4 linked regions of the Rhinolophus ferrumequinum genome follow. The protein of the gene in region 2 purifies or fractionates together with the protein of the main gene of each other region. This does not show direct contact. Links are inferred from orthologs where the notes say so. Each region holds a gene or a part of one and is shown on either strand. Other genes may lie near its edges.

Region 1 (7,680 bases), on a different chromosome or scaffold from region 2:
AGGCGGAGGCCTGGGCTGCAGCTTCCCTCCCCCACAGCACAGGATGAAGCAGCAACAACACTAGATCACCGGGAGGCTGGGGCCTGTGGGCTGGGGAGGGCCGGGCGGGCCAGGAGGCAAACCAGGGGAGATGGCAGCGTGGGCAGGGGCCCTGTCAGCACTTTGGTATGGGGTCGGGTGGGGTGGGGTGGGGTGGGGCGCATACATCCCTCCGTCCATCGCCCTGCCCGCCTCCCAGGCCGGGCTCAGTCCTTCCACTCCTTTTTGATGGTGAGGTTCCACTCCCAGGACAGGTGGTCAGTTTTGTCGTCGTCTGTGAAGCGGGACTTGATGTTGTAGCTGCCCCGTGCCAGCATGCCCTTGGGCGCCTCCTCCATGGGGGTCAGGAACTCGTACTCCTCCGCCCGGGGCCCGTAGCTCCCCACCATGTAGTCGGTCTTGTCAACTGCAGGGCAGGGAGGCGGCGTCAGGGAGCCTTTCCTCCTCCCTCCCGATCCTGGCCCCGGGGCCACCTCCCTCCTGGGGGCCAGGGCCTGGCGCCCACCCTCACTCACTCTTGACGCCTTTCCGGTATGTGTGCTGGATGTACTTCATGCCGGACACGATCTCCCGGTTCACCTGCCGGGAAGGACCCCACGCGGAACTCAGCTGGGCTCTCCAGCCCCGGCCCCCCCAGCGCCTCCCTCCCAGGGCCCCCACCTTACCCGGAAAGAGATCTTTATCCGGTATTCCACTCCCTCCTTCAGCACAAATGACTGCTTCTTGAAGCTCTCCAGGTCGCCTGTGTTCAGGAGAACACTGCGCTAGGAGGCTCAGCCAGGGGAAGCCGCACCTGGGCAACTCCACTGGGACTGCATCCCCCCTGCCCCCCCCCACAGCCAGAGCCTTGACCACTGGGCGGCCCTTCCTGTGCTCCCCACGAGAGGGCGCACGGTCTCCAGGAAACCATTTTTAGAGGAAGCAACAAGGTGTCCAACACAGCCTCAGCCAGGGACCTCAGAGGCGCCACTCACCTGTCAGGTCCAGCTCCAGGGGGCCTGGGGCAGTGCTACACACCAGGGTCAGGCGGGTCACAACAACGTTGGGGACATTGGGGTCTGTGGAGTGACAGCAGGTTAGAGCTCCACCCCTTGGCGTCCCACCTCAAGCACACAACTTCCTGCCTGGGGTAGGGAGCCGCACGGGGAACTCAGAAGAGTCACAGGTGTCCCCTCAGTCTCAGTGCCGTCCAGCCACTCACCAGCTGAGACGGCCACGCGGCCCAGCAGGGCCTCCTTGTACTTGCGCAGGCTCTCGTCGTCTTTGTCCAGCTCCTGGATCTCCTGGATGCTCTTCTGAGCCGGGGGCTTGTAGTTCACTGAGTGCTCGTCCTCCTCGTTCTCGGCCGCAATCTGCGCCAGCTGCTCAGCTGTGGGCTCCTGCTCTGCCATGCTCACCTCTAGCTGGGTCCGGAACACCTGCAGGGGGGCGGAAGGGGCTGTGGCAGCCTGCAGGGACCCAGTGTCTCCCCCTCCCGCTCCCTGGCAGCAGGGGGCTGTGTTGAAGGCATCTTTGCAGGTGGCCAGACCCTGTAGCTGCAGCCAAGGGGTGATGCAACTTCTGGAGCGGGAGGGCAGCTGCAGCCAGACCTTTGCAAAGGGCCTAGACACAGGCTCCTGGGGCCAAGAGGGGCCTCACTAACTTGCCTTGCCCGTCTCAAGGGACTAGGCATCCCCAGGGGGTGGCACCAACCCCAGCCTGGACTGGCAGAACCCGACTTAGTCACCTAGAGTTCTGCTGCTCTGAAGTGCCCAGGTCCTCACCCCAAGGTACCCCTCCTGCTGGTTCAGGGAGCTGCTCTGACCAGGGACACCCGTTGGCCCCGTCCTGGCCAGAATGCAAGACCTCTATCCACAACACAGGTCAGTTCTGCCTCGCCCTGCAAACACAGGGCTCTCCTAGAGCTCAAATAACTGGCCCAGCCTGAATCCCGCAGGTAGGTCCCAAAAGCGCATGGGGAACTTTAAGTGTTTGCCCACATTCTCTCCCGCTGTGATGGTTTGTGACCTAGAGTTGGGAGCTGCTGCAGCTCCTGGGTATTCTCAAGACCCTCTTCGTGAAGCAACGGCTAGAAGAGCCTGGAGCAACACTGTTGGAGCAGGCGCAGAACAGTACAGGAGGCTAAGGATCCTTACAGCACCCCCTAGCATCCCGGACGGTGTGTCTGAAACCCCCGCAGACCCCTCTCGTTGTGTGGGAGGTGGGTCAGGGCCAGCTGACCCCGGACCTCAAGTTGCCACGGGATGAGAAACAACGCCTGGCAGCCGGGGTCTGCCCGAGTACCAGATCCCACAAAGGGCCGCTCTGAGCGGGCCGGCCGCCCCAGGCGGGGTGGGGCCGCCAGTCCCTCCAGGCCTCCCAGGCGCTTCCTCTGGAATTCCTCTAGAAAGCTCACGCCCTAACGCCAGCAAGTGCGGACGCAGGCGACAGGATCCTCCAAGCGCACTGCCGGCGCCCGCACGGCCGCAGGACCCGCAATCAGGGCTGGCCGAGGGGTGGGGTGGGGTGGGGTGGGGTGGGGTGGGGTCGGGTGGGAAGCTCGGAGACGGCCGGGGGCAGGGCGCGCCTTCCCCAGGGGAGGGGCGTCAGGCCTGGTGCACCCGGCGCGCACCGGCGAGGGGGCGCCGCGCACGAACGGCGGCCACAAAGAGGCCTGCGCCCCCCGCCCGCACGTGGACGCCCGTGCGCCCGGGGACCCGCCCTGCGCCCCGGCCGCCGCCCGCTGTCACTGTTGCCCCCGCCCCCGCCCCACGCAGATCCCCCCGGCGGGAGGGGCGGACAAAGACTCGGCCCCCGCCCCCTCCCAGCTCCGCCGCTTTCGCCGCCTCCGCCGCCGCCCCTGGCGCTCACCGGAGGCTCGACCGCGCCGCGCTCGCGCTCCCTCCCGCACAAAATGACGAACGTCGGCGCCCCGCCCGCGCGCGCCCTGCCGGCCACTTCCGGGGTCACGCGATTTCCGCTCAGGCCGGGCGGGCCGACGGAGGGCGCATGCGCGGGCGAGGGGTCTGCCGGGAGCGCGCGGCCGCCATCTTGCGGGGCCAATCTCGTGGGCGCGTCCCGCGTAGGCGGCTCGCGAGGCCGGTTTGCCCGCGAAGGCTGGTCTGGTTGGTGCTTCTGCGCCCCTTGCTGCGGGCATTTTTCAGCTCGGGCGTCCCCACGGCTCAGCCCGCGAACTCAGACGGGGACGGGGCAGTGTCACCGTCTTGCGTGGACCCCACCTGGACGTCGTGCGTTTCTGCCGCCATCTGTAACGCGCGGGACTGTCCCTCTGCAGGCGCGCAGCCCACGTCCGGGCCCAGCGGGCCCTGCTCTGGCAGCCAGCGCTGGCCTGGTCTCACAGCCCGGTGGTCGCTACACCCGGGGTCCGCTCCGGCCGCTCTCCCAAGTGAGCCAGCCCGTCGGTCCTCGCCATTGCCTCACCCTCCTGGAAGTGAACACTGGATGTTCCGTCGAGTTCACACCAACCACTCACAGGACGCTCTGTGGGTTCCCGTCCTGTCCAAGTCCCGGGGGTGGGCATCTCCTGGTGTCTTGTGCACCCAGCACAGACAGTTGGGAGGCTTTGGCTAGAAATAAAAGGTAAAAATTGATTTCACCTGGCCAAGGGTTTGCAAAGCGGAAACCCAGGCAATACCCAGAGGGTTCAGAAGAAGAAAAGCTAAGAGTTCTCATAGGAAAAAGCAGGCTGTAAGAATCGGTCCAGGGCGGGCCCAGTGGCTCAGGCGGTTGGAGCTCCGTGCTCCAAACTCCGAAGGCTGCCGGTTTGATTCCCACATGGGCCAGTGGGCTCTCAACCACAGGGTTGCCAGTTCAACTCCTCGAGTCCCCCAAGGGATGGTGGGCTGCGCCCCCTGCAACTAGCAACTGGACCTGGAGCTGAGCTGCGCCCTCCACAACTAAGACTGAAAGGATAACAACTTGACTTGGGGAAAAAAAGTGCACACTGTTCCCCAATAATAAAGGCCGTTCCCCTTCCCCAATAAAATCTTTAAAAAAAAAAAAAAAAAATCCGTCAAGCATTCTAGTGGTGCTGGATTGGCCTGAGATTACAATCTTCCAGATGTCGGTGGTTCGGACCTGGGAACACTTTTCCAAGCCCTTCAGAGGCTGGCTGTAGGATATATACGTATTTCCAGGCATCCACGCACAACTGGGAAGTTCCACAGTTGAAGTGCTCACTCAGGCTGGTGAAATAAAACCCATTCCTCACGCTCAGCCCATTTGCACTGAACCAGTTTTGTTGGCTTGACTATAGGAACTCCATTTTGAGTCATCTTTTCTTCACTCACTCCTCACTTCGCAGCCTGTCCAAGGCTGTGCACGTGACCCTCTGCCCTGCCATCCCCTGCGATGAACAAGGTTCAGTGTCCAGGGCACGCTTGGGCCCAGCACTGCCCTCCTGGAGAGGGGTCTGGCCACTGTCCTGTGCCTGTATGTTCCCCTCCAGACTGAAGGAGTATTTTTGGGCCCAGCACACTTGGCTACCTTGTGAGCAATACTTCAGGGGAGCTGGTCACTGAGGAACTCCTCGCCTCTCATGACTTCGGAAGCTGCTGGCACAGATGACACAGTTACTTCAGTCGGCTCTTTACCACAGACCCCAGTGTCTCCATTTGTGTGCTCTAGTTGTATGGATTTCAGACCTTGGTCCACACACCAAACAACATTCTGTAGCACCAGGGGCCCCATAAAATGTGGGCTGTTTCGCAGAGCCTGCAGTACCCAAAGCCTCGCCCGGCACTCCTCCGTGTGGGGTCCAAACCCCTAAATGCCCCACCTGGGGGGTGTGCCACCCCACCTTCACCCCCCGGCACTTGTAAAATTGTAATCACGTGACAATGGACTCATGCCTCCTTCAATGATGGTTCAACTCCAGGACGGTAGGGCCCTTCTGTCTGGTCTACACTGCCTGGCAGGGAACCCAGGCTGACAGAAGTCATCGCACACACACCTCTGCACCGTTTGCAGGAGGGCATTTGGGGTGATAGAACAATGCGTAATACTGAGCTCAGTATGTTTTGGAAAGATCTCTCTCCCTTTTTGAGGTGTATTTGCAATTTTTCTGTAACTGAAAGTTGCACTATCAACTTTATAGGCAGAAAGTTTGGCCAAAGGCAGAGCATCCTAATTGGTGTTCAGTGTGTTGCTTCTGAGGCAACTTACTGGGGACCGTCCCGCTGCACAGCCACCTGAGTCATGGCTCGAGGACAAATCTGCTTTCAGATGACCCATGTACCTTGAAAAGAAAACCCAAACTCTGTTATAGAAAATTTAAACATATGTGTATTAGTAATCTCTTGCTGTGTAAAATATAGCCTGGAATTTAGCAGCTCAAAACACCCAACCCTTATTATTTCCCATGGTTTCTGAGGATCGGGAAGCAGCGTAGCAGTGCGGTTCATGGTTCTGGCTCCAGGTCTCTCAGGAGGCTGTGATGAAGCTGTTGTGCAGGAGGGCCACGGTCTCCAAGACCTGCTGGAATTCCAAGTTCACGCACGTGCTTGGGCCCTCAGTTCCACACCCGTGGGCTGATGGCCTGAGGATTTAGTTCCCTGCGACCTATAGCTCCCGTCCCGGCCCCTCCGTAGAGCTGATCACACAGGGCAGGTGGCTTCCTCCAAGTGAGGCCTCAGAGACAGACAGATGGACAGGCAGAGGCAGACAGAACAGAGAAGGGGGCAGCAAGCAGTCAGATGAAGCCGCTGCGTTTCTTACGATGTCATCTCAGAAGTGTCATGCCATCACTCTGCCCTACTATACTGGCACGCAGATCTGTCCTGGCCCAGCGAAGTATGGGACTGCAAGGTGTGAGTGCCAGGAGGTGGCCCACCGCACACCAAAGTAGAAAGCGTGGTGTCATGAACCCTGATGGACCTTCCACGTGGCTTCAGTGGCTTTCCCTGGCAGCCAGTCCCGTTTGACCTGTCCCTCTTCCTCCCCACACACAGCTTGAAGCAAATCTCACACGTGGTTTCCACCATGTGGATTTCAGTGTGTGTTTATTCCTAAGGAAAAGGATTCTTTTTTTTGGATAAACAAATTTGAGGGTCCCCACGATCACCCCCTTAAGTTAAAAAATGCGCTAGAACAATTCACAGAACTCAGAAAAGCTCTTCACCTGTGATCGCCGGTTTATTATAAAGGACGCAACTCAGGACCAGCAAGAAATGCGCAGGGTAGGGGTGCGTGGGGGGGGGACTCCGGGGAGCTCCACCCTCCCAGCACTTACCCCTGTTCACCACCTGGAACCTCTTCAAACCCCACTGTTTAGGGGCTTTCATGGAGGCTTCATTAAGAGGCAAGACTGATGAAATCGTCGTTGGTGATTAACTCAACCTACAGCTCTGTCCCCTCTGAGAGGTCAGGGGACCAGGTTGAGAGTGCCAACCCTCTAATGATGCCTAGTCTTTCTGGTGACCAGCATCCATCTTGACACCACCCAGAGTCATCATCTCATTACCATAAACTGCTTGTGGTTGAAAGGGACTGGTTACAAATAACAAAAGCCACTCCTGTCAGGACATTCCGAGGGCTGGAACTCTGGGCTAGGAATGGGGACAAAGGCCCAATCTACCTTGATTGTGCCACAGTCAGTTTTCTGTGCTTGTGCCCTCAGGTGCGGAGGAAACTGGGACACCTGTGGTTGAGACTTCCCTTACTGGCACTTCCGGATTACTGGCCTGCCTCCGCCCTCCCGGTGTGCTGTCCTACGTCTCAGGCTGGACAAGCCCCAGGTCAATTTTCAGAGGTGCCATGAGCTCCGGATGGCAGGTTGGCCTGCTGTGCCACCCTCAGCATTATTCTCAGCAGGCGTATTTCATCAGGCATCGCAAAGTGCTCATTTCCTAATATGCCAGCACTGCTTAGCTGGAATTCTTTTTTAAAAAGCTCTCCCCATCAATGATTTAATCCCTTCGAAATACAGTTTGTATAGAAAACAAAACAGATTATATGTTTGTTCCTTTCATTTGCCAATTTTCAGAATGAATCATTTCGTGCCCAAGGAGTCCCCACCCTCAACCCCTCAACGAGGACAAAGAAAGGTTGTCTCTGAAATAACTGCTGGTGACTTGAGTGGCTTGTTTATGATGGATTGTACATCTAAGAAAGTGGGATGCTCAAATTAATTTTTACATATAGATGTTATTTTACAATTAATGAATGTGCTAAAACATTTTATAATTTGTTTCTACAACCTGCATACGTAACATACAAACTAACTGTCTAGGGTAGGTGACCACAGACACATTGATATATTGAAAATTAATGAGATTACCTCCTGGTTTTATTTTTACATTAAAATCTTTAATGATGCATTTTTTATTGCTAATTTCACCCAAATAGTCAGTTAATCCCAGGGTGACTCATTAATAATAACAGTTAATTAATGTAAATCATATAAACATTTATGAAAATTACACAACCATATGTAATTCCATAATAACTAATATATGCAAATTAAAAAACAATAAAAAATAACAACAAAAAACCCCAGCAGGGTATGTTGGGGAAGCCACCATGAAATATAACCGGTAAGGATGAACTCAGTATGGTACAAATGACACAACTAACAGTGAAGCGGGTGGAAGAGAGAAAGGGACTCACATTTTGGGCACCAGCACGACCCCGGGACTCCATGGC
Region 2 (7,373 bases):
GGGTTCTCAGGGACATGTCCAGAAGAGCCAGCCTTTATCTGCTATACATATCAGGGTTTCAAGTCAGACTTCATTTGTTGCCAGGGTTTTGGTACTTTCAAAATTTAATAATCGCTAAGGTCCGATCTAGAACACACTGTCCCTCCGCACAAGTCATGCCTGTGCCAGTCACAAATGAGCCCCTCTTTAAAATCACAGGCCAACAGAACAAGCTCCCAGGCGGTAGGTGGATAAGGGAAACTGCTGGCATTTTAACAAAACTTACCTCCCTCAGTCCCCAAAGGCCTGGAAGGGAGATGGGAGAGCTTCCTGTTTTGACAAACTAGGAAAGTGAGGCTGAGACATTCAGCAGAGTCGTGGCAGGGACGGCACTCAGAGCAGGGCTGTGTGACTATAGAGTCTGTTGCCTTTTCCACATGTCACCCCAGAGGTAGAAAGAACAGAGGCAGGGAAATCAAGACAGAAGTGGCAGCAGCCAGGTGGTTTCCCTGGCCCACCCCATCCCGGTTCCCAAAGCCCCAAGTCATACAAAGGAGGCTCAGTCCCGAAGTGCCCACAGCCCACATTCGGGCAGCCTGCCTTCCTCCCCCCTTCCTCCTGGGCCTGGCAGCAACACTGGGTCACTCAGCCCCAGGCAGGGGACAATGACCACACTGTAGGGAGCAGCACATCCACCACAGCAGAGCGAGTGAGAATAATCCACCAGGGAGTCACCTCCACCCACTCCCTGGAGCAGCCCCTCCTCCCCTTTGTCCAGTTCACCCAAGGCCCTGGCCACCCCTCCCAGTGACTCAGGGCAAGGAGTCAGCTTCCTGGGGTTTCCACGTCCTCCACACTAATAAACATCGACACAAGTTCATCAGCTCCCAGATTCCCTGCGGAGCTGAGCCTCGTGTCCTCCTCCCCTGGGGACAGGGGCTGACCTCCGGCCGGCTCAAGTGCCCAGGCTCCACGCCTGGAGGAAGACAGGGGCGGGTTCCAAGGCTGACGTAAAGTCGAGGCTGTTGGGAGGAGCCCCCAAAAAGAAGACGAATGAGGGCCAGTCCCAGCACCAACCAGGCAGGGAGTAGTTCAGAAAGGAGAGGGTAACCTGATCTCTGCCCAAAACCTGCCTTTTTCTCTGCGTCCCACATCCTGTCAAACTATGTTGAACGCCTTTACTTCCCACATACCACCACCAACTATCTCACACCCCTGGCTCTGTCTGCCCTTTAGGAAGTGAATATTCCAGCCCAAGTCTAGTTCTCTTCAACAGTGGGGTCCTGAGTGGTTTCCCTCCTCAGCACTTTCTCTCTCTCGCTCTCTCTCTCGCTCTCTCTTTCTGGGATGAGGGGAAGTGGATGTGAGTCAGAGAGAATTTATAGGAGTTGAGAGTACACGGTCACACTCTCCCTACCTCAAAAAGGGCTCTCCCTGACACCCTAAAAGACAGGCAAGAAGGCATTCACCATGCCAGCTGATCCCCTCCAAAAATGGAAACCATCCTTCCCAAAAGGGGTTCCTTAGAAGTTCTACCCAGGTGACCAACTCCTCCCTCGTTCCATTGGTCCAGCTGTGTGAAAACAGTGGGATAGCCCCAATGTGAGATGGGCAGTGTCGATGGAGGGCAATGATCAATTGCTCAAGCCTGAGAACGCAACTGTCCTCCCCCAGCAAAGCAGTTTGGGTGGCACTAGACAGTGGGAGGCGCAGGCCAGAACTCAGGGTCAAGGGCATGCATTAAGTGACCTGGAGCCCCCAGCTCAATTAGAAGACTTTCCCTTCAAACTCTGGTTGGCCCAGGCCAGCGCACTTAGGCCCAAGGCCAAGGTGGCAAGGATAGCAGCTCCCTGAGAGAAGCAGCCCCAGAGGAACTGCCCCACTGACCCCAAGAGGGGCAACCAAACCCCGCACATGGCCTGGAATGGAGCCTGGAACTCCCGGGGCCTTCCCTGAGACAAGAATGACATCCGCCACCCTCTCCTCAGTCATTCTATGGATTTCCAGATGACCCGGGGGCCAGCTGTTCCCTGCCGACCACCCTGAGGTGTAGAGAAAGAATCAGATTCCTCCTTCTCAACTTGAACACGGGAAGTGAGAGCAGAGGGCAGGACTCGGCCTCGGGTCTCCCAGACCAAACCTCCAGGATAATCTTTAATCTTTAGACAGGTTATGGAGTGTGAGGGAGAGGGCTGGAAGGGAGGAGATCCTTACACACTTACACACAGACACACACACACACACACACACACACGAGCTGGATCCTTCCTAATCTCCCCTACCTCCACCCAAGGCAGGCTCCAGGAACCGTCTAGGGCGGTGTCCACCCCGCCCCTATCCTGGCCATCCTCACGGCCGGGACTGGGGGTAACATCACTTCCACCGGGCCTTGGCCTGGACCCACACTCCACCCCAGGTCCACCGCTGGCCGCCCGGCCTGGGAGTTGCCAGGTCTGGGCGGAGACTCCCTCCCGGAGACCCAAGTTGTCCCCTCTCCCAGGCGGGCAGGTTCCAGAAGAGAAGGGACTCTGGCTTGGACACCAGGAGGCTAGAGCCCCGGTGGGGCAGTTCCCGGGGCCCAGCTACAGCCCAGGAAGAGGCTGAGCCGGCCGGACCCCCGCACAGCCCAGATGCCGCGTCCTAGACGAGAGAAGGCGGCCGGCGCTCTGGCCAAAGCCCCCTAGCCAGCCGGCGCCCCGCGCTCCGGCCAAGCGGAGAGGGGCAGAGTACTCTCCCGGGGACCAGCTCCCGGGACTCCCCGCCAACCCCAGCCCCCGGCCCTGGGTACCTTCCGTGTGGCCGCTTTCAGCTGCGCTGCGGGAGCCGGAGGCACAGACTGACCCCGGCGCCCCGCCCCGCCCTCCTCTAGCGCCGCGGCGGGGAGGGGCGGGCCCGGAGCGGGAGGCTCCGCCCGCCCACAGCTCGGGCTCTGGTCACCCAGTGGTCACCCCCGCCGCTGGCTAGGGGATCCAGGGCGCCGGCCCCCGGGGTCGGAGAAGATGCCTGGATTGGGGCGGAGTGGGCGGAGGGGCGAGGCAGATCCCTGAGGACTCTCCCTCTGCCCCGCCTCCCAGCCCCTAGGGGCGGACCGGCGTCGGGAAAGTTGAGAGGAGCTCGGGGTGGGGTCGAGAAAGGGCCGCTGCTGCCCTCCCGTGGCCACCCAGCCACCTGTCCCTACATTACCTGGGACCTCCCGGGAGGCGGGACTGGGTATAGGGCGGCCTCCGGGACGCCCAAGTTGGGGGCTGCGAAGGAGACCCACCTTCTGTTCCTAGAATCGTTGCAGCGTCAGTACAGCCCACATCATCCCCCAGCCTTGAGAACTTATGAGAATCGTTGCGACCCGGGCCAATGTCCTATACTTCACAATTCCCTTCCTTCCCCAGGCCTGGAATTTCCATGAGTTCAATTCCTACCTACCCCTCAAAGGGCACTCGCGGAAATCCAGATGCCCAGCTGGGAATTCAGTTTTCATCCGAATAGTTATTTCTGTGCCGCTAAGGGCACTGAGCCCCGTCTGACTTGACACACGAGGTATTTACTTACACGTGTTATCTCCTTCCTCGTAAGGTACCGTCTGAGGAAGCAGATGTTGCTTGAGGACGGCTACTCACATTTTATTAGCTTGTGCTCCGTAACTACACAGCTCCGCCCTTTTTCTACTCATCACAGATCTTCGGGTAAAGTATACCAATCCCCTGGTGCCTGTAAAAACCTGAGGCTCAGAGAAGTGGCTAGCCCCAATTTTTGCAATATGTATGTGACAGAACAAGAATTCAGACACTGGGGCCTGTCTGGCCCCCAAGCTGGGCTCTGTCCCTGCTGTCCCCTCTGCTCCAACCTGTCCCTTCCTGCTGGCCAGCACAGTGAGTGGCACATAGTAGGCTGTCAACAAATATTTGCTTAATGAATGTCTTAATGAAGTCTACAGACTTGAACGATCTGAAGTGCAACCCACACATTTGAATAACGAAGAAACCCAGGTCCAGAGCACTTTGGTCCCCAGGCCTCTTAACCTGCTCAATCAACATTTATGGAGTGTGAACTGAGAGCTATGTGCTCAGTTCAGATCAATAAATTCAGAATATAGACTACTTAAAGATAGCTAACAGTTATTGAACCCTTATTATATGGGCCTGGCTCTACACATGTGAACTACATGAGTCCTTACAAGAACCTTATGAGGTAGTACTGTTATCTCCATCTTACTGAGAAGCAACTTGAGGCTCAGAGAGGTTACAGAGCTGATATTGGATCTGGCACCAGAATCCAAACAGCAGGACTCTAGAACCCCTGCTCTTAACTGTGACTCCATACCGACTCCTAATACAGACAGTCATAATACAGGAGGCAGTCGTTATAGTGGGGGCATGCCTGGGCTGTGGAATACCCAGCCTTAGAGGGCGGGAGGAAGAAGTAGTGGCCAGATCATGAAGAATCTTCTATGCCACACTTGAGTTGAGTGTTGATTTGAGTCTCGGTGCAGTGAGGAGCCACTGAAACGTTCTCTCAGGGAAATAACCAACTGAGATTCACACGGCGGAAAGGTCACTCTGTTATGTCCCAAGTATATTGGGGGAAATGGGAGAGTGGCCTGGAGACAGAGTTCGGAGATGAATTAGGAGGCTAATGCAGTCAAGAACTGAGGTACTAAGGTAGTGACACGGTGGAGATAAGTGGAGAAATATTAAATACATTTTTATATAATCAACCATACTAAGTGATTGATTAGCTTGATGAGGAATAGACGGAAGCCAAAGGTGACCAACTCCAAGCTTTCTACCTTGAACAGCTGAGCTGGTGCCCAGAGATGACGAACCAGAGGTACATGTCTGTTGAGGAAATGATGAATTCGCCTTGAGGTGTGTTCAGTAAAGTGTCTGCCGAATGCCGAGGAGATAGATGGGATATGTGGGTCTAAAGCAGGGGTGTCCAAACTGCGGCCCGCAATCCATTTTTAATTGGCCTGCAGCAAATTCCAAAAATATATTTAGTTTACTTAAATAAACCAGGTGAGGCAATACGTACTTCACCTCGAGTGAGTGGCCCGGCTGTTTGTGTATTTTACCGCATAGGGCCCTTGGTGAAAAACGTTGAAAAAAGTTTGGACACCCCTGCTCTAAAGCTCAGGAGAGGTCTGGGCTGGAAGTACTGACTTGGACAAATGAGGCTGTGTGGAAGAGCAGGAAGAGCAGAGGGCAGGAGAAAGAACCTGGGAACACGACAATTTCAGGACTTGTCTGGTGTACGTTCCACCACCCCAAAGAGCTTATCGTAACCTTTCGGTTTCCAGTCAAAGTAATTAAAGACACACATTTTTTAATCCATCTGGTTTATTTGCCAATAGCTATAATTTTGGATCTAACTGATACCCCTTCTTCAGTTAAACCGCCACTTAAAGAAGGTCAGGGAGACAACTTCAGAACTTGGGCGGGTGGGGCGTAAGCATGGAGAGGCTGGGATGGCGGCGGGAGGGTCGGGGCTGAGCCTCTCAGGAGTAACTACCTGGCCCTCCCAGGGGGATGATGAAGACCGAGATGTCATCCCCGGAACCCAGCTTGTTGTTGGGGAGACGCCAGCCACGGTCCCGGGGAGCGCCCCGGGCCCCCAGGACTAGAGCTTGGGCCAGAGCTGTGTACCTGCCAGAAGCACAGGAGCACATTCACGTACCAGCATGTACATGGGAAGATACATACACAGGCCCTCATTGCTTCCCTTTACCCGTTCCTTCCCCACTGTCATCCCTTCACTGTCATTCACCCCCTACCTGTTGGGGTCATTGGGCTCATAGCCTGACAGCACCCTGTCCACAGTGGCGGCTACCTCACAGTCACTGGTGACATCCCACAGCCCATCTGTTCCCAGGACCAGCACGTCATCCGGGCAGTGCTCATATTGTGTCAGGTCATATACTCGCACCTGGTGGGAAAAGAGAGTGGAGAGGGAGCTTGCGGATGAGGACACCGGCGGTGAAAGCCAGCCTAAGACCCCCGGAGGAGGTACAGTGTGGTTAAGGAGGTCCCCATATGGCTCACCTCAGGGAAGCAGGACAGGAAGGGCTTGATGGGCAGGGTGGAACTGCAGACCTTGAGGTTGTGGTCTCCTAAGCCCCGGGTCACCCCAATGGTGGCCATCATTCGAGCCTAAAGGAAATGAGGCAGGGATGCTGCTATAGCCCTCTCCCAGACTCTCTGAAACAGTGGACCCTCCCACCCCTGCCCTGCCCTCAGGTAGAACCTCCACCTCCCTAGACAACTTGTGATGGGTCCTCCGGCCCTCTCCCACCTCTATCATGGAGTTTACCTTTTTGCCCTCCCCACAGACCAGAGGAAACCTGAGATCCTCCAGCTCGATCTTTTTGTAGGCCCTGGGGAGGGGGGGAGTAGAGGAGGCATGACCCAGGCATCAAAGGCCCTCTCCCCTAGGAGCCACACCCCTCACACAAACCCCTAAGAGCCACATCCCCCAAACTCCCAGCCCGGCCCAGCCTCCAGCTTCCCCCTTGCTGCTGGTGAGGGACTGCTTGCGTTACTATGGGAATGGACCCAGCTCTGAGGGAAGTGTTACCAGCCGGTCATGGTCTGGTCCCGGTACAGCATCCTCTGACCCAGCTCCTTGGGCTGAACTCTTCGAGGGAACTCGAGGTGGGTGAATTCACCCCCCAGTAGCTCCGGTTTCATGAAGCCCTGGGGTTGGGAGTGGCCAGACAGAGCAGAGGGCCAGGGGCCATGAGGCTTACAGCACACCCTGGTGTATAAATGATCTTACTTGGAGCAGACCCTTAAATGGAGTTTACAAGGTGGGGTGCACTGTCTAATATTAGCCTATATTAACTCATTTACTGCTCACAACAACCCTCTTAAGGCAGGAAGTACTGACGCAAGTTAAGGGAATTGTCCAAAGTCACACAATTAGCAAAGCACTCGAATCAGGATACAATTACAGACAGTCTAGCTCCAGAGCCAGTGCTTAAAACTGTAAACCCCTCTCGGGCCTTTGCCATTCCCTCCCCACCAATGACTCCACTTCCTTCCTCAGCCGGGGCCTAGAGGGAGCACCTGAGCGGCCCCTACTCCTTCCTGCTGCGTCCTCCACCAGCTCAGCCCTGTACTCCTCCCAGTAAGGAGCTGTCTGTCTGTGTGTTGGGAGGGAGTCCCTGGACATAGGGCACAAACAGACACAAAACTCAACAAAGAACAGGGGTAGGACGTTTGGTTCCTACTTACGAGCAGCTGAAGACGTTGGCGCTCAGTCTCCGGGGTGAATTCCCGAGACATTGGAATGATTTCACCATTCCGGACAATGATAGCTCTGCCCAGAGAAAGAAAAGATTTGGCTTTGACTCTCCTCAGATCGCTCGTGGAGAATTCCAGAAGGGCCAGAATGGCCCTTAG
Region 3 (7,456 bases), on a different chromosome or scaffold from region 2:
TTAAATATCATTTATACTTTATTTCTACTATAATTATCTGTGTATGTCATACTCTTCCTGTTAATATTATAAGCAACTTGAAATTAAATGTCTTATATACCTTTGTCCTCCCACAATACACTGCACATGATTGACATTCAATAAATATTAAGTACATGTTGAGTTTATAATAAAATACATACATAAAATAATAGCATAGTTCATAAAATTATATAGGAAGTTTCCTTCAGTTCTTATGTAGAAAAATTACTGCCATGAGAATATATTTTTTTAAAAGTTGCCTTATTTACTTCTTGAAAAGACAGATAAAAAAGTGTTTTCCCCCCTAGCATTAATCAGTATACCTTCTACCTCTTACATGTACATGAATTATTATAATAACTTCCTTGGCTCAGAATATAAAACGGCTTTCCACGGTTTAAATTTTACATTATTGCACGTACCTACTGATGACACACTAAATCACCTTACCGTTGAAAACAACCTTGTAGAAGGAAATGGCTTGCTGGAGGCTGCCCCCAAACCCATACCTCTCAGACAACCCAACTTTTTTTGTTGTTTTTTTCAGAGAGGAGCAGTTGTAGTATAATTATACATCTCTATTCCCACTTTCTCCACACCTCCAATAACATCTACCAACCCAAATGTTTTTCAGAGACCATACTTTCAGGTTCACAAGTTAAAAATAATAGATGGGTTTTAAATTCAACAGTTAATTCACCAAAAATTTCCTTAATACCTACTATGTGGAAAGCACTGTTGGGGACACAAAAATTAGTAAGACATAATTTTCATCTTCTAGAACTCACTATTAAATGCACAACAGACACACATAAACAGTTCCATTATAAAGCAGATTATGTAAGTTCTAAAAAGCTTCCAACAAGGTACAGACAGAGTGCTATGAGGAGAGACGAATTTAATTAAAGAGTTTCTGAGAAGCTTCAAATAAGAGATGGATTTCTATTTGGCTTTTTTTTTTTAAAAAAAAAATCAAGCAATAACATTCCAGATTTCCAGGATTAATTATTTTTGAGTAAATAATTTCGTTTCAAGTATTTTTATTCACTAATATTGAAGAATTGGGAGTTTTTCCATTGAAAAGGTACTGATTTGACATGTTAGTTAAAATTTTAGTTAAATAGATTTTTTTAAAGTTCACCTTGAAAGAAAACATTGGAAGATGTATTTTACAGACCACTCTTGTGGTATATAATTAAGAAGAAAATTTTTTATGTTCAAGAAAAAGATACAATGTGTCCAATAATCTTAATATTTACTTAAAATTCTACTCCCAGAGAAAGGCTAGGTACATATAAATGGGCCTCTCTGTTTTTACAAGTGTTTGTTCAGCATATCAATAGTACATTAAAAGGGAAAAAACTGAACAACTGAAAATGAAATTCAAGGCCCTAAATTCATTTTTCATTCACACCACCTCTTCCTCCAACACTGGCTTCTTCCAGATATATGGTCAAAGGTCTAAATCAGACCTTGAAGAATTTGCTTTTCAAGTAGGCTCTCACGACACCATTTCTAGATTTAGATAACTTCCTTGTAGATTCTGAGTTGCCATGACCTAACTCTGGACATGCTGAACACTGGGGACAGATGAAAGGATCACACTCATTTCAAGCTTAAAATAACTTGCACAGAAGGGGTGGGAAAAGTCCGAGTTGACAGATGACAACGGAGCACATTTTAAAAAGAGGAAATTATACCACAGGAAGGAGTGAAACAAACTGGGGAACACACAGAAGTATGTTATTCCAAATAGCTACTATTAAAAACAACAACAAAAAAATCTTTGGCTTTTAATTACATTACAGAATTCATCAGACGTTTTTGTAATTACTGAACTTAACAGTCCCACAACATATGAAAAACGGTTAGGATAAATGATATGTAGTTTTACAAAACTACATTTGCATTTCAATATCTCATTCAAACCAACCTCTTGGGATTAACTACGTAAATACAAAAGAACCCAAATCAGATTATGTAGATTTAGGCAGGGGACGCTGGGAACGGATAACTAATATAAGTTCGGTAACATGTCACACGGTGCAGTTGTCTGCTACAGTAGACAGGCGAGGGAACCCCGTACACGGGTTGAGTACAGGAATCCTGCACACTGTAGTCACCCAACAGTAATTCAACAGCTAGTGGCTCTATCCATCCTTCCTACATTCCTCGTGGCCTCTGACAAGTCATCCTTTCAACCTATGAGGCTGTCCGCTCTCGCTCATCGAAAATAATTTCCGTGCAGGTAGTAAAATCGCCCTCACAAACTACTTGCTCCCACTTCCCCGCCTCGGGATGCGCCGTCCCCACGATGGGGAAAAGGTCGCCCAGCCAGGGAAGTTACGTGAAGTGGTCTTTCTCGGGGTCGACCCCGAGCCTGCAGCCCCGCAGACGCTGGGGAAAGGCGGCAGGCGGCCTCGGGAGAACGGCGGGTGGGCAGAGGATGCGAGCCCGCGAGGCAGGCTCCGCGGTGCCCCGGCACCGGCTCGGGCAGGAAGAATGGAGGAGGGGAGGCGCGGCGGCGCGGTGCCCGCGAGCGGCGCGGCGGTCCGGCCCCGCGGCCCGACCCCACCCCACGCTCGGGACCCTCCCGGCCGCGGACCCGGCGAGCGTTCCTCGCGCCCTGACTCCCCCGAGGCAGAGCCGCCGGTTCACACCCGGGGATCTGAGAAATCCGGCAACTTTGCGCCGAGAACGCTTCCCACCCTGCAACACGCCGAGAAAGAGGAAAATGTCAGGCGATGACGGGGGAGGAAGGGTGACTTACCCATGTTCCTCCCGAGGGTGAGGAGCCAGCAGGGCGAGGCGAAGGTCTCCGGTGCAGGCGTCGCGGCGCTGTGTCCTCCCTCTGCCTCGCTCTCGCCCGCTGCCAGGGAAGGACCCGCGGGGGGTGGCCGCCGGGGAGGAGCAGCTGCTGCTGCTGGGGCTGCTGCTGCTGCAGGCGGCGCGGCCGCGGCGGGGACGAGCGGCGGGGGGCGGGGCGGGGCGGGGCGGGGCGGCGGGCGCAGCCTGCGGCGGGCGCGGCTCGGAGCGGGCGGGCGGGCGGGCGGCGGAGGCGCCGGGGCGGCCTGGAGACCGCCCGCCCCGACGCGCGGCCCGGAGCGCCCCGCCCTCCCCAGCGAGCATGCTCAGTGCCGCCCTCCTTTTCTCCCCGTGGCGAGGGAATCTCGGCGTGCGGGTGGGCGTGTGTCTGCGGACCCGCTGCAGCCGCCGCCGCGGAGGACCTTGGTGGCGACCGCCTGGGGGGCGGGGGGTGGGCCGCGAGCAGGCCTCGCGCTGGGGTACTGAGCCCGAGCTGCTGCCGTCCGGCTCGCCCCAGGCTTGCTACGGGGCCCCCGCCACCCCCACACCCGGCAAACGGGGCTCCCCGGCTGCACAGGCGGGAGGTGCCCGAAGGAGGAGACGCTGGGCCGCCTCAGTCAGGGCAGGACGGTGAGGAAACCAAGCGGACGTCCTGAAACGAAGCGGGATGGACGTAGAGCGACGTGGCCAGGGGCTGGGTACCTGGGGACGCCCGTGTGCCGAGCAGCCGGTGGGCCCGCGGGGCAGCGAGCGGGGAGGTGGCCGCTGGGAGGGCGTTGCAGGTTAGCGGGCTTATCAGTGGGACGGCTCCAGGCGGTCCTGGCTGTGGCTCGTTTAGAAACAGAGAGTTCCGGACAGCCGAGGAGAGTGACCGCCCAGGATTTCCTCCGGGAATATGTCTCTCTCCTTCCTCAAGAGGGCGGGCTTCCATTCCTCATCCCCCGGAGGACGCCTGAGAAGCCATTTAACAGGGGGTGCCCTCGCCTTCGGGCTGCACCCAGCTCCGCCCCGCTCCCTAGGAACGCGGCAGGAAGAGAAAAGTCCGGCTGCGTTGGCTGCGGCCCGGCGGGGCTGGCTGGATCGGTCACCTGGGCCGCGGATGGCTCCCGGCACCTCCCAGGTGCGCCGGGAACCGGGGCCGGGCGCTCTCTCTTGAGGGCTTCTCCCGGCTGGGCATGCGCGCCAGGTGCGGGCCGGTTTTCGGTTTCTGCCCTGGGAGAGGAGGCTGCAGGGACTCTTCCCTTTCTCCGCACCTGGTCTTGCCCTGACCCGTCTGTTTTTGGAGTTGAGGAGTCAGGTCGCCAGGAAGAGGGGAGCAGTCAGCAGCATAATCTGTGGGAGGGAGATGCTGAATAGCTGAATGGAGGTTTCTTTCCCCCTTTCAAATTTTACTCTTTCAATCCAATGTTGAGAAAAGGTGCATTTTACTCCTTTCATCGGTGGCCCCTTCTTAGATCAGATCAAATTTCCGTTTGTATGACAGAAGTTCCTGCAAGCACAGAAGTCAGAATGGGCCTTGTAATTTGTTCAGCAGAGAGCAGATTTTATGTGACTTTTCTAAAACAAAAATGAAACCGTTAAAAAGAGAGGTTTAGTGAAACAAAATACAATGTAAGTGCAGAAGGCACAGCTATAAAACTTCTGATGCACAAGACAATGAGGCACCTCACTCTTGTGTTACACTCCTTCCCTTGCTGTGATTTTTAGGATGATCTTTCTGTTTGCCTCAAAGTAATCTTACAAGGTTGAATTAGTTTCCAGCTGGTGTAACAAAGTACCAAAAACTGGGTGGCTTAGAACAAGAGGAACGGGTTCTCTCAGTTCTAGAGGCCAGATGTCTGAAATCAAAGTGGTGGCAGGGCCATGCTCACTCTTGAAGGCACCAAGGAAGGATTTCTTCCTAGCTTCTGGTACGTCCTTGACTTGTAGCATAACTCCAGCCTTCAATTTTCCATTCATAAGGACATCACCAATCCGATTAGGGTCCCAACTACTCAAGTATGACCTCATCTTTAATTATATCTGCAATGACCCTATTTCCAAAACGGTCATATTTCGAGATACTGGAGGTTAGGACCTCAACATACGAATTTGCGGGGGACACGATTCAATCCATAACATACACCAATGCAAGCTCCAGCCTCCACCCCCCTTTGTCCCCCGACACACACCCATACCATGTTCCACATTCATTTTGGACCTCTCCAGAAGACCACCCTGGCGCATTTGTATTGCTCATTTTTTGTACCTTGGTCTTTCCTTGACCTTCATTAATCTCTTCCAGATTCTCTAGTTCACTTGTTTCACTTTTCCTGCTGCTTCTTTTTGTAATTAACTACAATAATTTAATTACAATAATGTCTAAGAGCATCTTCTGTCTTTCGTTTGGATATATAAATTGAAACTAGCAGCAAAAATAGTTGATGCAGCTTTGTGACCTCCCACCGGATGCTAGTTTGAGTGCCTTTTTGTTTTGCTTGAAGCCACAAGCCATCCCCTCAGCCCTTTTACCAATTTAAACCACAGGATTGTTCAGGCACATTGCACACAATGAGTCAGTCCCAACACTGATGTGTAACCATGGTGAGACCCAATACGGTCGCCTCCCTTATCCACACTGACTACATTCCAAGCCCCCAGTGGATGCCTGAAACCACAGATACCACTGAACCCAATATGTCCTATGTTTTTCCCATACATCTGTACATACATGCCTATGATACAGTTTATAAATTAGGCACAGCAAGAGGTTAACAATAGTAAATAGGACAAATATAACAATACTGGAATGAAAGTGATGTGAATGTAGTGTCTCTCTCTCTCTCTCTCTCTCTCTCTCTCTCTCTCTCTCTCTCATAACCAATCTAATAACTGAGATGGCTAAGTAACTAACTGTTGGGGAGTGGATATGCCGGACAGAGAAGATTTACATCCTGGACAGGATGGCATGAGAATTCATCACACTAATCAGAGTAGCGCATAACTTAAAACATGAATTGTTTATTTCTGGAATTCCCCATATAATATTTTTGTACTCTTGTTGCCCACGGTTAACGGAAGCCTAGGAAAGTGAAACCTCGGCTAAGGAGGCACTGCAGTACTGCCTGCTACATGCAGAAGTGGACTGGTGGAATGCTTACCCCTTTCACACATAACGTTAGTTCCCCTCCCTTTCTATTTTAGGAATATAACATTTTTCTCATACCTTTACTTCACGTTTTTGTTCAAAAGTTACCTGCATGAGGCCTTCCTTAGCCATTTTACCTAAAATTTCAGTACTCTCTCCTACTTCTTATGCCCATTTCCATACTTTATTTTTTCCTTCGCACTTATCATTAAGGTTTATTTTGCTTATTGCCTGTCACCCCAATTTTAATTTGAGCTCCCCAAGGACAGAAATTTTTGTCTGCCTTATTTGCCATTATATTGCCAAGGCCAGAAGAATGCTAACACATAACAAGTGGTCAATAAAAATTTGTCGTGTGAATGAAAGTCTTTTTATTCTTTCTTTTAGAGTTTTTATTCTGAAAGAGCAAGACTATTGTTAATATTCTTTTTGTAAACTCTAGCATTTCACCAAGTAAACTTATTCAGTAAAGGTTTATATGGATGACGATCATGATGATGATGACAGCTGCTGTGTTGTTTCCGTCTTAAACAACAAGTCCTTCACTGGGTGGAATATAGTCTTTGTACTAATTTATGCACCCATGTACTCCATAGAGATGTATTGAGTGCTTAGTATGTATGAGGCTCTATGATGGGAACTTGGGATAAAAAACTATGGTCTGTTCTCAAAAAGCTTATGTTAGAAAATTTTCTTTGATGATAACTCTCGTCATTGATCATATAAATAGCTAGGAAATATTCACCTGATATCAAAAGAGTTTTCCAGAAATAAATCGATTAGTGCCCATGCTCCATGTTAGGCAATGGTCACAATTTGATTAGACTTGCTACAAAATAAAGGAGGGCATTCTGGCCCAATGCAGACATTTTCAAATTCTATCTAAAAATCCATATTCGTAAAGTATCACAGATTTATCTGAATATCAATTTATTGTTGAAAATTGGTTTGTAATTATTCAATAGCGTTTGGTAGTATGGGGAGTATCAAGGAAAATGTTTATTAGAAAGGATCAGAAGCACTACATTTTGGCAATGTTTATAACATATCTTCCCTCATAACCTCATTCCCTTATAACATAACTTCTAACAGAGGTTAAAAGGTGATTTAAACTATTTAAAGGAAATGGTAGGGGCAGAGCTAAAGGAAGTAAAAAGAGAGTTTCTTCAAAGAAAATAGGGAATTGATTGCCTTCACCATGATGCTCTGAATATCATTTAAGGGACTCTCACTGGAGTAGTTAACTGAACTTTGCAGTGATAAAAACTGATTTGGCAGTGAATAGTTTTCTGCCTAAACACTTTATTTTTAAAAAGCCTCAGTGAGATTAGGGTAATCCAGGCTGAACAATTGAAATGTATTAATCCCTGAAATGTTGTAACTGTAACCCTCTCCCGTCACTTCTCATTTACTTAATATATTAACCATTTCCCAAATCTTATGAAATATAAATTTCTTTTACAGTCGTATTACGTCAAACTGACTAATGTCTGCATATTGCAA
Region 4 (7,618 bases), on a different chromosome or scaffold from region 2:
TGGCAATAATACAGCTCTTGGATCTCCAATCATGGCTCTACTACTTTATATTGATTCAACAAATATTTATTAAATACCTACGGGACCAAAAACTGCTTTAAATACTGGAGAGATAGAGATAGACAAGACAAAGACACTGCTCTCAAAGATCTTAGGGGAGTGGGGGAAAAACCCATACATTGGAATTGGCGTCAGAATTATAGGGAGACAGGAAGTAAACAGGTAATTAAATGAGATTGTTTTTTCAGTTAATGATAAGCTCTAGGACAAAAATAAAGAGTGATTCTGGATCCAGACCTATAATAAATGCAGACTTCTCAGAACCCACCCTCCCCCAAAAAAAGAGTGAGTGACAACTTCTAATACCACTTCCTCATGGGGATGTAACCACCTGCTTCTTAGAGATGAGGACTGTCAACCACTTGGCACACAGCATCTGCAGCATTTATTTACCTGCACACATAGAGAGATGCTCACAGATACACACACACACACACACCTTAATGGCACTATCTGTGATAATCAACCTTAGTATGAAATGAGAGCAGAAGAAAAACAAAATATTTGTGAAATTTAATTATACTTAATGCAATTACATCACAAATAACTGCATTCATCAAGAATCTGTAAAAAGGCAAAACCTAAACAATTCTAAGATAAAAGGATAAATAACAGTCCAGATCCTGGGTTAATAGCAGGAGTATTAGAGATAATATTACAAATAGTAACATGGCTACCTTGCCCACTTTGCAGGACTGCCATGAAGAGCCACATTATTTTTCCGTACAGTAAGGCTCGGTGTCCGAAGCTGGGTTTAAACTCTAGTGTTCAGATTTCTTTGAGAAAAATAAAAGACAATGACCAAGTCCTTCTTAGAGTCACAAGATTTTATACCTAGAATCAACTTTAGGAAACTCTCTGTACACTCTCCCCACTTTACCAATGACCAAGGTCCCCAGAGGTAAAGGGTTAACCTAACAGTGGAATAGCCAGTGATGACAGAGCCAGTGTAGGGCTAGCCTTTTAGATTTTATCAGAACCACAAGGGATGGCAGTGACTTCCAGAATTCAATTTCAGTTATTGTCCCTAAAGACTTCAGTGAGTTGCACCTATGGCAGATTGAGGATCTTTACTGGTGGCCAGAGATTTGTCTTCAAGCAGGAGAGCTCCCTCCTTGAGAAAGCTGCTTCCAACACTATAATACATGTTACTAGGAAAATGATGCAGCTAGCCTGAAAGGGGAAAGATACCTTTCAATTGTAATTTTCAGAGTTTCCCTCAGGAAAAAGGCGCCCAATAATTATATCTGGGAAGGGAGCTGGAGAGACCAGGTATGGGAACTCCAGAGAGAAAGGAGCGAAGAATTGTGTCCAAGATATTTACAAGAGAATGGACAGAGCCCCCGGGCTGTGAAAGGGACGCAGAGGAGAAAGCAGCTGGGCCCAAAGCAAGCACTTGACCACACCCACAGGCCACGCCCTCCCAGCTGCCAGCAGAGCCACATCGAATTGAAACAGCAGTGAGAGCAGTTAAGATTCCGACGGCAGGAGTCGCCATGGCAACGGGATTCATCTTGCAGGCAAACTCCGCTTCAATTCACTAAGTCCTTCTCGAGCCTCAAGAAACTACCAGCTTAATGGGAGCAAAACTGTCACGGGAGGCATTTACTGTTGATGCTCACCTGGGGGTGGAGATGGGAATCAAGAGGGCGGGGTTGGGAGAAAGGGAATGTAGGTAGCTATTCCTGGGCCCACTAAAATATTTTATGAGGGCAAGAGGCAGAACACCCCAAACCCAGGCTGTGAGCAACTTGAGAGCAGAGCCATTAGCAGGGTTTGATGAATGAGTAGGCGAGCGAACAAGAGGGGCAGGGGAAGGCAATCCAGAGGGCTTTATAGAGTTCTCGGGCCTCGTGCACGTCTCCAATCGGAGGGCAAGTGGATCACAAGAAGCTGGATTTTCCGCATCAGCTGGGAAAACCCGATTACCCAGGCTGCCTGCCCCACAAGCGAGCCTTATCATTAGATTATTTGACACCCCACCGCTTTACCACCTCCCAACCCAGGGCTCCGGGCAGACGCTTCGCCTCAGCTCAGGTGCTCTTTGTCGAGGGAGCAATCAGTGCAGGGGGGACCAAGATGCGCCCTCCCCGGAGGGACTGGGGGCAAAAGAGCTCTGAGGCTCCTCGAACCCGGTCCGCAGGAGGCGCAGCCTCCCCTCGCCGCTGTGCGCCAACACCCCTTGCTCCTTCTGCAACGCGGGTTTCCCCTCCTGCCCCTTTTGAAACCTCCAGCTTACAACTTTGCCTGAATTACAGTCACCCCACCCCTTTCGAATGAAGCGTGAAGTGAGGGTGTCAGGGATGGTGGACGTTCGGCTCAGAGTCCCTCCTTCCTGGTCGCCACCTCCGAATCCACCAAGCCTGCCTCAGGATTCCTCCTCTGCCAGCAGCTCCCGACAGCAGCAATGCACGCAACCCGCAGCCGAGGCCACGACCCCCAGCGCCCCATCCCCGGGGTGCCTGCAGCAAGACGGCTGTACCTGGTACCCTGCCTGCTCTCTTGGCATCCGAGCGCCTCTGAAAGAAAGGAGGGAGGGACCCTCATCCTCTGGGGCGCCTTCCTCCGGGCTCGCAGTGCTTTGCGCCGTGCTTGCAGCCATTTTTCCAAATCCAGCTTGGCAGCCCGGAGCTGTCTAGGTCCTGTTCGCACCCAGACCTAACCTGAAGGACGGGTTTAATATTTACCTACTGGCCCGGGAGCTCCAGGGAAGCAGCGGGAGGGCGCGCCGCAAACCCAGAGCCCGGCCCGAAGAAGCGCGCCCACCCCCGCTCCACCGCTTGGTGCCACTTAATGAATGAGTGCGGCGGGCGAGGCGGCGCATCCCCCTTACCTGAGCAACCCCTGCATGCTGGAAAGGCGGCTCTGCGCTCTGGGTACAATGGGACCCGGTTAAACAGTTTCCTTCACAGCCGCTCGTAGGTTACCAACTCGCAGGTGACATCACCCTCTCCTCCGCTGATAGGATACAATGTAGCGCCCAGTGCGCATGGACTCCCCAGCCTGGCCCATGGACTCCTGGTAGTTGTAGTCCCAATACCGCAAGCAGAGCCTGGATAGCCACGCTACCGAGGTTAGCACAACTACAATTCCCGACGCATTCCTCGGCATCTTCGTCCCCGCCCCTAGTCCCGCCTCCGCCGGGACACCCCGGCCCTCCCCTCCTTGCAGCCTTGCAGTGTTAGCGGTGGCGGTGCAGAAGCTAGGCTGCGGGCTGCGCGGGCTAGAGACTGGGGGAACCCTGCCGTGGTGCTATTTGACTTGACCTCCACTCGTCCCTGTGAGAGCTCTGAGGGCCCCGAAGCGTCCGGGGCTAGTGCGCACCGGCCAGGCACCTCTGACCAACCCTGCTCTGTTGGCCTCAGCTGAAAAGAGACGATTAAGTCTCTCACTGTCTTCCCTACGCGTAAACTAATTAATAGGACGCACGGGTTTCTGGGTTAAATGCGGTCCTGGAATTCCCCCAAGCCCCAGAGGATGAGGCGAAGCCGACCCCGCAGGAGAGAAATCCCCGCGTGTCCCACTTCGTACAATTCACCTTTCTGTGTTCTCTTTCCTTCTGCCATTTAACGGAGTTCGCGGGGAACAGCTTAGTTGGCTGAGCTGACAGAATAACGGAGGCTGTCACTAATAAAAATGCAGAATAGACAAGACAATCGCCGCAGCCCTCCCTCAGGGAGCCTGCTGCTGCTGCTGCTGCTTCTGCCGCTGCAGAGATAATACTGTAGCGCAGCCATGCTTTTGTTCTTTCCTGCAGTGGACTTCCCGCTCTGATGGCTCTCAACTCCCAGGAAGACATCTTTTCCTAAAGTTTTAATGACATATATACGTACACATGTACTGCTAAATCCCTAACACTCTCGCCTCATTTCCCATAGCTTTCTCTTCAAATATTTTTTAAATGACCTAAACCAAACAACAGCGTGCTATTCAAGAATTGCCATGATCTTAATACACCTAAATGTTTAAAGGTAAGCAAAAAGTGTGTATCAGAATTCTGAACCTTCAGGAAGATTTCATTTTTAATACAATAATATTAAATAATAATAATAATAATAATAAAATGTTTCCGTGGCATTTTTCATTGTTCAATGAATACCAAATATTATGAAAAAATGATCATTCAGAGCAAATCTTAAGCTGTTTTTTTAAATGAAAAAAAATCAATGCATCTACATAATTATTCCAGTGGCAAAGATAGAGTACATTATAATGGCATTTGATGTTGCAATCACGTAGAAGGATCAGCTCACACCCCTATTTCTATTAGCAAATCTCTGGAAGACTACATCTTGTGAAAAGAAAGTTCACAATTAAAAATTTTAAAGAACTCTCCATCTAATTGTTGGTGGAAGTTTTTCTTATCACTCTTATTTTCTCATCTCATTGTGGAACAATATCTTGGGTTCAAGAGAAAAATATTCATGGAACTAGTTGAGGATCTCAGGGGAGACGAAAATGCTTTGTTCTGCTGAGAGAGGTGTTTTAGTGTTGAATTCTGATTTTCATTTAACAAGCTCATTCCTCATATACTAGACACATTTTTCCCCACTGAAAGAAGATAACTTTGAACGTTGCTCTCCTGTTCTGAGCTATCCCATCCATTCCAAATATTATCTTAAACAGAACCCAGACAACACAAATGTTCCATTGGCCGTCAGATCAAGAGTACAATCAGTGATATTCTAGCTAATGGGTAAGCTTAATGTATTGCAGTTCATTGTGGGAAAATATTCAGAAAGTAACTTGACCTGGGATGATTCTAAAAGCTCTCCTAGTTTTATAACTGTGTAAAGCTTTAGATGGGAATATAATCAGTGAGCCTGAAATTTATTGAGGCAAATTGGGTGTGGAGATTCTCCATAAAGCAGGGCTCGTCCTTACAGATAAAAGCATATTATTGAGGCACACTCTGAGGACTAACTTTACAGGACAAATCAGCTTACGGCAAGTTCTCTTGGGTCTTCAGCAACAAAGGAGAGGATGGCATCTGCCTTTAAAAAAAAAATCTAATCTCTGTAGCAATTAATATTATAGGGATATGTCATGTTACATAGCTCATTTCCATCTATAAAGGACATCATACACAATAGAGTAGAAGCACAGGAATGTGTGGATGTGCATGTGTGAGCTTCCTCCCTATTAAATAGATATATAAATATAGATAATAGATATTGAAGGCAAGGCATTATGTTTGGAAGCATTTTGCTATAAGTGTGATGGATTTGAACAGATCCCTGCACACTGTTTCACTGGTAACCAGGGGAAACAAAGATGGCTCTTCAGCATCAGAAATGCAGTCTGGATCCAGAAGAAGCTTAATTTCTGTGGAGACAGAAGGGATCTCTCTCTCTCGTTCTCTCTCTCTCTCTCTCTCTCTCTCTCTCTCTTTCACACACACACACACACACACACACACACACACACTCACACACTTATGTTGTGTGTTTGTATTTAGTTCTTTCTAGGTGACTAAGTAGTCTCATAAGCTATCAAAAATACCGATCTGTCTAGCTTAATCTATAATATTCTCAAAGGATTTCTTTAGGATTTTTCTTCTTTTCTTTTTAAATGACTGCTGCTATCCTCAAATGAGCTTATACGAAAGGCCTCGTCTTGTCCCATAATCACTGCCTATTAATTAGGAACCTGTGGGACCACTGAGAACAGATTTAGTTGACCTGCAGGTAGAGAAGGGGAAAGGCACCATGGAGTATTTTGCTGATCTTTCAAAATAATCTCTCAGTTCTGATTACAAGGTTTTACTCTAGCTGTTGGGTTTTAGATAAGGGAAGAAATGAGACATCAACAAAGAAAGAATTTTATGTTTGTAGCCTGGCATGTGTTTTCACACAATAACTTGGTGTTTTGCAACAATTGAGGTTATATGCTTGAGACCAGGTTTGGGGTCATGCCATTTTACCACTTTTGAGCAATGTGACTGCTCATTCTCTCTGAGCCTCAGTTTCCTTATTTTAAAAATGGGGTTAATAATAAAACCTATTTCATGAGGATTTTGAGGATTAAATTATACTTGTAAAAACACATTTCACATTGAAAGGTAGTATACAAATGCTAATTCTTGTTATCATTTGCAATTTTTCCCTAAAGATTATCTCAGAAATGTCACCCCTAATTATGGAAGAAGTTAATAAAGACCTATTTGAATTTAAAAAATCTTATTCTTAACAAGAAACTATGAGAAATTATACGGCACGCACATATTATCTCACTAATTTGTAAGTAGGCAAAATGTACTTTGAAGAAACGACTGAGAAATCCAAATTGAACAGTGCTGGTTCTTGGCTTGTTTTCAGATTTACACCTTGTCCTTCCGCAGTGCCCCAAGCTGTCTTCAGCATCATAGGCTGTCTTCTCCAAGCTTCTCAGCATGGAGAGTTCTGCTGGGAGATTGGAGGCTGGAAGGAGGGAGAAGCCAGGTTATTTCTCCACCTCCTCAGAGTTGCACTGGGTGATGTTTCTGGCAGCATCAGCAGTATTTCCTCTGTTGGACTGGTCTGTCGTGATTCCAGCATCTTTTGGATCACCCCAGCCTTTGTTAACACCACCTTCTCCCTTTTTCCCTCCAGCCTAAGGGTGGAGGTAGCTTCCTGCTGTTGCCAATCTCTCACTGCATGTTTGTCTTCTCAGACCTTCTATCACCCATGAGACCAATTCCCTATACTATATCATATCTGTTTTAAATACTCAGAATGGTTTTCGTTTTCATGGTGGAACATATAACTGATACACTTACGTCTTAGTTCAAGTTATTTTGTGGGCAGGCAACACAAACTTTCTATGGCCAGTTTATGCAAAGGAAGGAAGGAAGGAAGGAAGGAAGGAAGGAAGGAAGGAAGGAAGGAAGGAAGGAAGGAAGGAAGGAAGGAAAGAAAGAAGTAGGATTTATTCAAAGGATTGAGCAACCAAGGCTCCATCTAAGAACAGGTACCAGACCAGCTCTCAGAACCTAAACAGTGGTGGGTTTTGAACCTTTTAGCTAGCTCATTACTCTAATAGTCCTCCATCTCGGTGTCTCTGTCTCTCTGTATGGTGTGAGATGGGTACTAGACTTATCAGGGTGATCACTTCGTGAAGTATATAAATATCTAATCACTATGTTGTACACCTGACACTAACATAATATTGTATGTCAACTGTGATTGAAAACTAAATTTAAACAAATTTTTGACAGAAGCTGATTGCCCTGTCTTAGAGTGACTTTCTCTAACTTAATCATCTTCATATGCCGTGGTTCTTAAACGGGGGACCCCAGTAGCCTCCGTATCACCTGAGAACTTGTTAGAAATGCAAATGCTTAAGCCCCACCCATAGACCTACAGGAAAAGAAACTTTAGGGCTGGGTTCCACAGTCTGTGTTTTAACAAGTCCTCCAGCTGATTCTGACACATAAAATTTTTTGAAACCACTCATCTGCAGCAAAGATTACAAGATCGTATGGCTCAGATATGATCACTCAGGATCTCTCCCTGTGTGGGAGTCTTCCCAGAGAGGAAACAGTGTTGTGAACTTGGCAGCCACCCCAAGAGGTGTCTGG

Evidence for each region.
Region 1: the proteins of RHOC (region 2) and ARHGDIA purify together in Homo sapiens (affinity purification with mass spectrometry; 4 studies listed by BioGRID and IntAct, with this or other methods). This does not show direct contact. The link is inferred for Rhinolophus ferrumequinum from reciprocal best matches to the Homo sapiens genes RHOC and ARHGDIA.
Region 3: the proteins of RHOC (region 2) and RAP1GDS1 purify together in Homo sapiens (co-immunoprecipitation; 3 studies listed by BioGRID and IntAct, counting the BioPlex papers as one, with this or other methods). This does not show direct contact. The link is inferred for Rhinolophus ferrumequinum from reciprocal best matches to the Homo sapiens genes RHOC and RAP1GDS1.
Region 4: the proteins of RHOC (region 2) and DAAM1 purify together in Homo sapiens (affinity purification with mass spectrometry; 3 studies listed by BioGRID and IntAct, counting the BioPlex papers as one, with this or other methods). This does not show direct contact. The link is inferred for Rhinolophus ferrumequinum from reciprocal best matches to the Homo sapiens genes RHOC and DAAM1.

What each region holds. Positions count from the first base shown.
Region 1 is NC_046304.1:54,657,723-54,665,402, forward strand, and holds the start of ARHGDIA (rho GDP-dissociation inhibitor 1), read right to left. Parts: upstream 3,012-7,680; 5' UTR 2,890-3,011; intron 1,458-2,889; 5' UTR 1,431-1,457; coding exon 1,241-1,430; intron 1,098-1,240; coding exon 1,014-1,097; intron 782-1,013; coding exon 705-781; intron 619-704; coding exon 555-618; intron 446-554; coding exon 246-445; 3' UTR 1-245. UniProt on the Homo sapiens protein: Controls Rho proteins homeostasis. Regulates the GDP/GTP exchange reaction of the Rho proteins by inhibiting the dissociation of GDP from them, and the subsequent binding of GTP to them.
Region 2 is NC_046305.1:43,950,955-43,958,327, forward strand, and holds the start of RHOC (rho-related GTP-binding protein RhoC), read right to left. Parts: upstream 3,010-7,373; 5' UTR 2,768-3,009; intron 1-2,767. Other genes in the region: PPM1J (protein phosphatase 1J), read right to left, coding at 5,471-5,618, 5,747-5,898, 6,015-6,122, 6,283-6,346, 6,547-6,665, 7,206-7,290. UniProt on the Homo sapiens protein: Regulates a signal transduction pathway linking plasma membrane receptors to the assembly of focal adhesions and actin stress fibers.
Region 3 is NC_046288.1:50,129,141-50,136,596, reverse strand, and holds the start of RAP1GDS1 (rap1 GTPase-GDP dissociation stimulator 1), read right to left. Parts: upstream 2,898-7,456; 5' UTR 2,843-2,897; coding exon of another isoform or gene 2,796-2,842; coding exon 2,792-2,795; intron 1-2,791. Other genes in the region: myosin heavy chain IB, read left to right, coding at 2,794-2,842, 2,898-3,456. UniProt on the Homo sapiens protein: Acts as a GEF (guanine nucleotide exchange factor) for the Rho family of small GTP-binding proteins (G proteins) that stimulates the dissociation of GDP to enable subsequent binding of GTP.
Region 4 is NC_046289.1:35,264,331-35,271,948, forward strand, and holds the start of DAAM1 (disheveled-associated activator of morphogenesis 1), read right to left. Parts: upstream 3,007-7,618; 5' UTR 2,894-3,006; intron 2,724-2,893; 5' UTR 2,663-2,723; coding exon 2,543-2,662; intron 1-2,542. UniProt on the Homo sapiens protein: Binds to disheveled (Dvl) and Rho, and mediates Wnt-induced Dvl-Rho complex formation. May play a role as a scaffolding protein to recruit Rho-GDP and Rho-GEF, thereby enhancing Rho-GTP formation. Can direct nucleation and elongation of new actin filaments.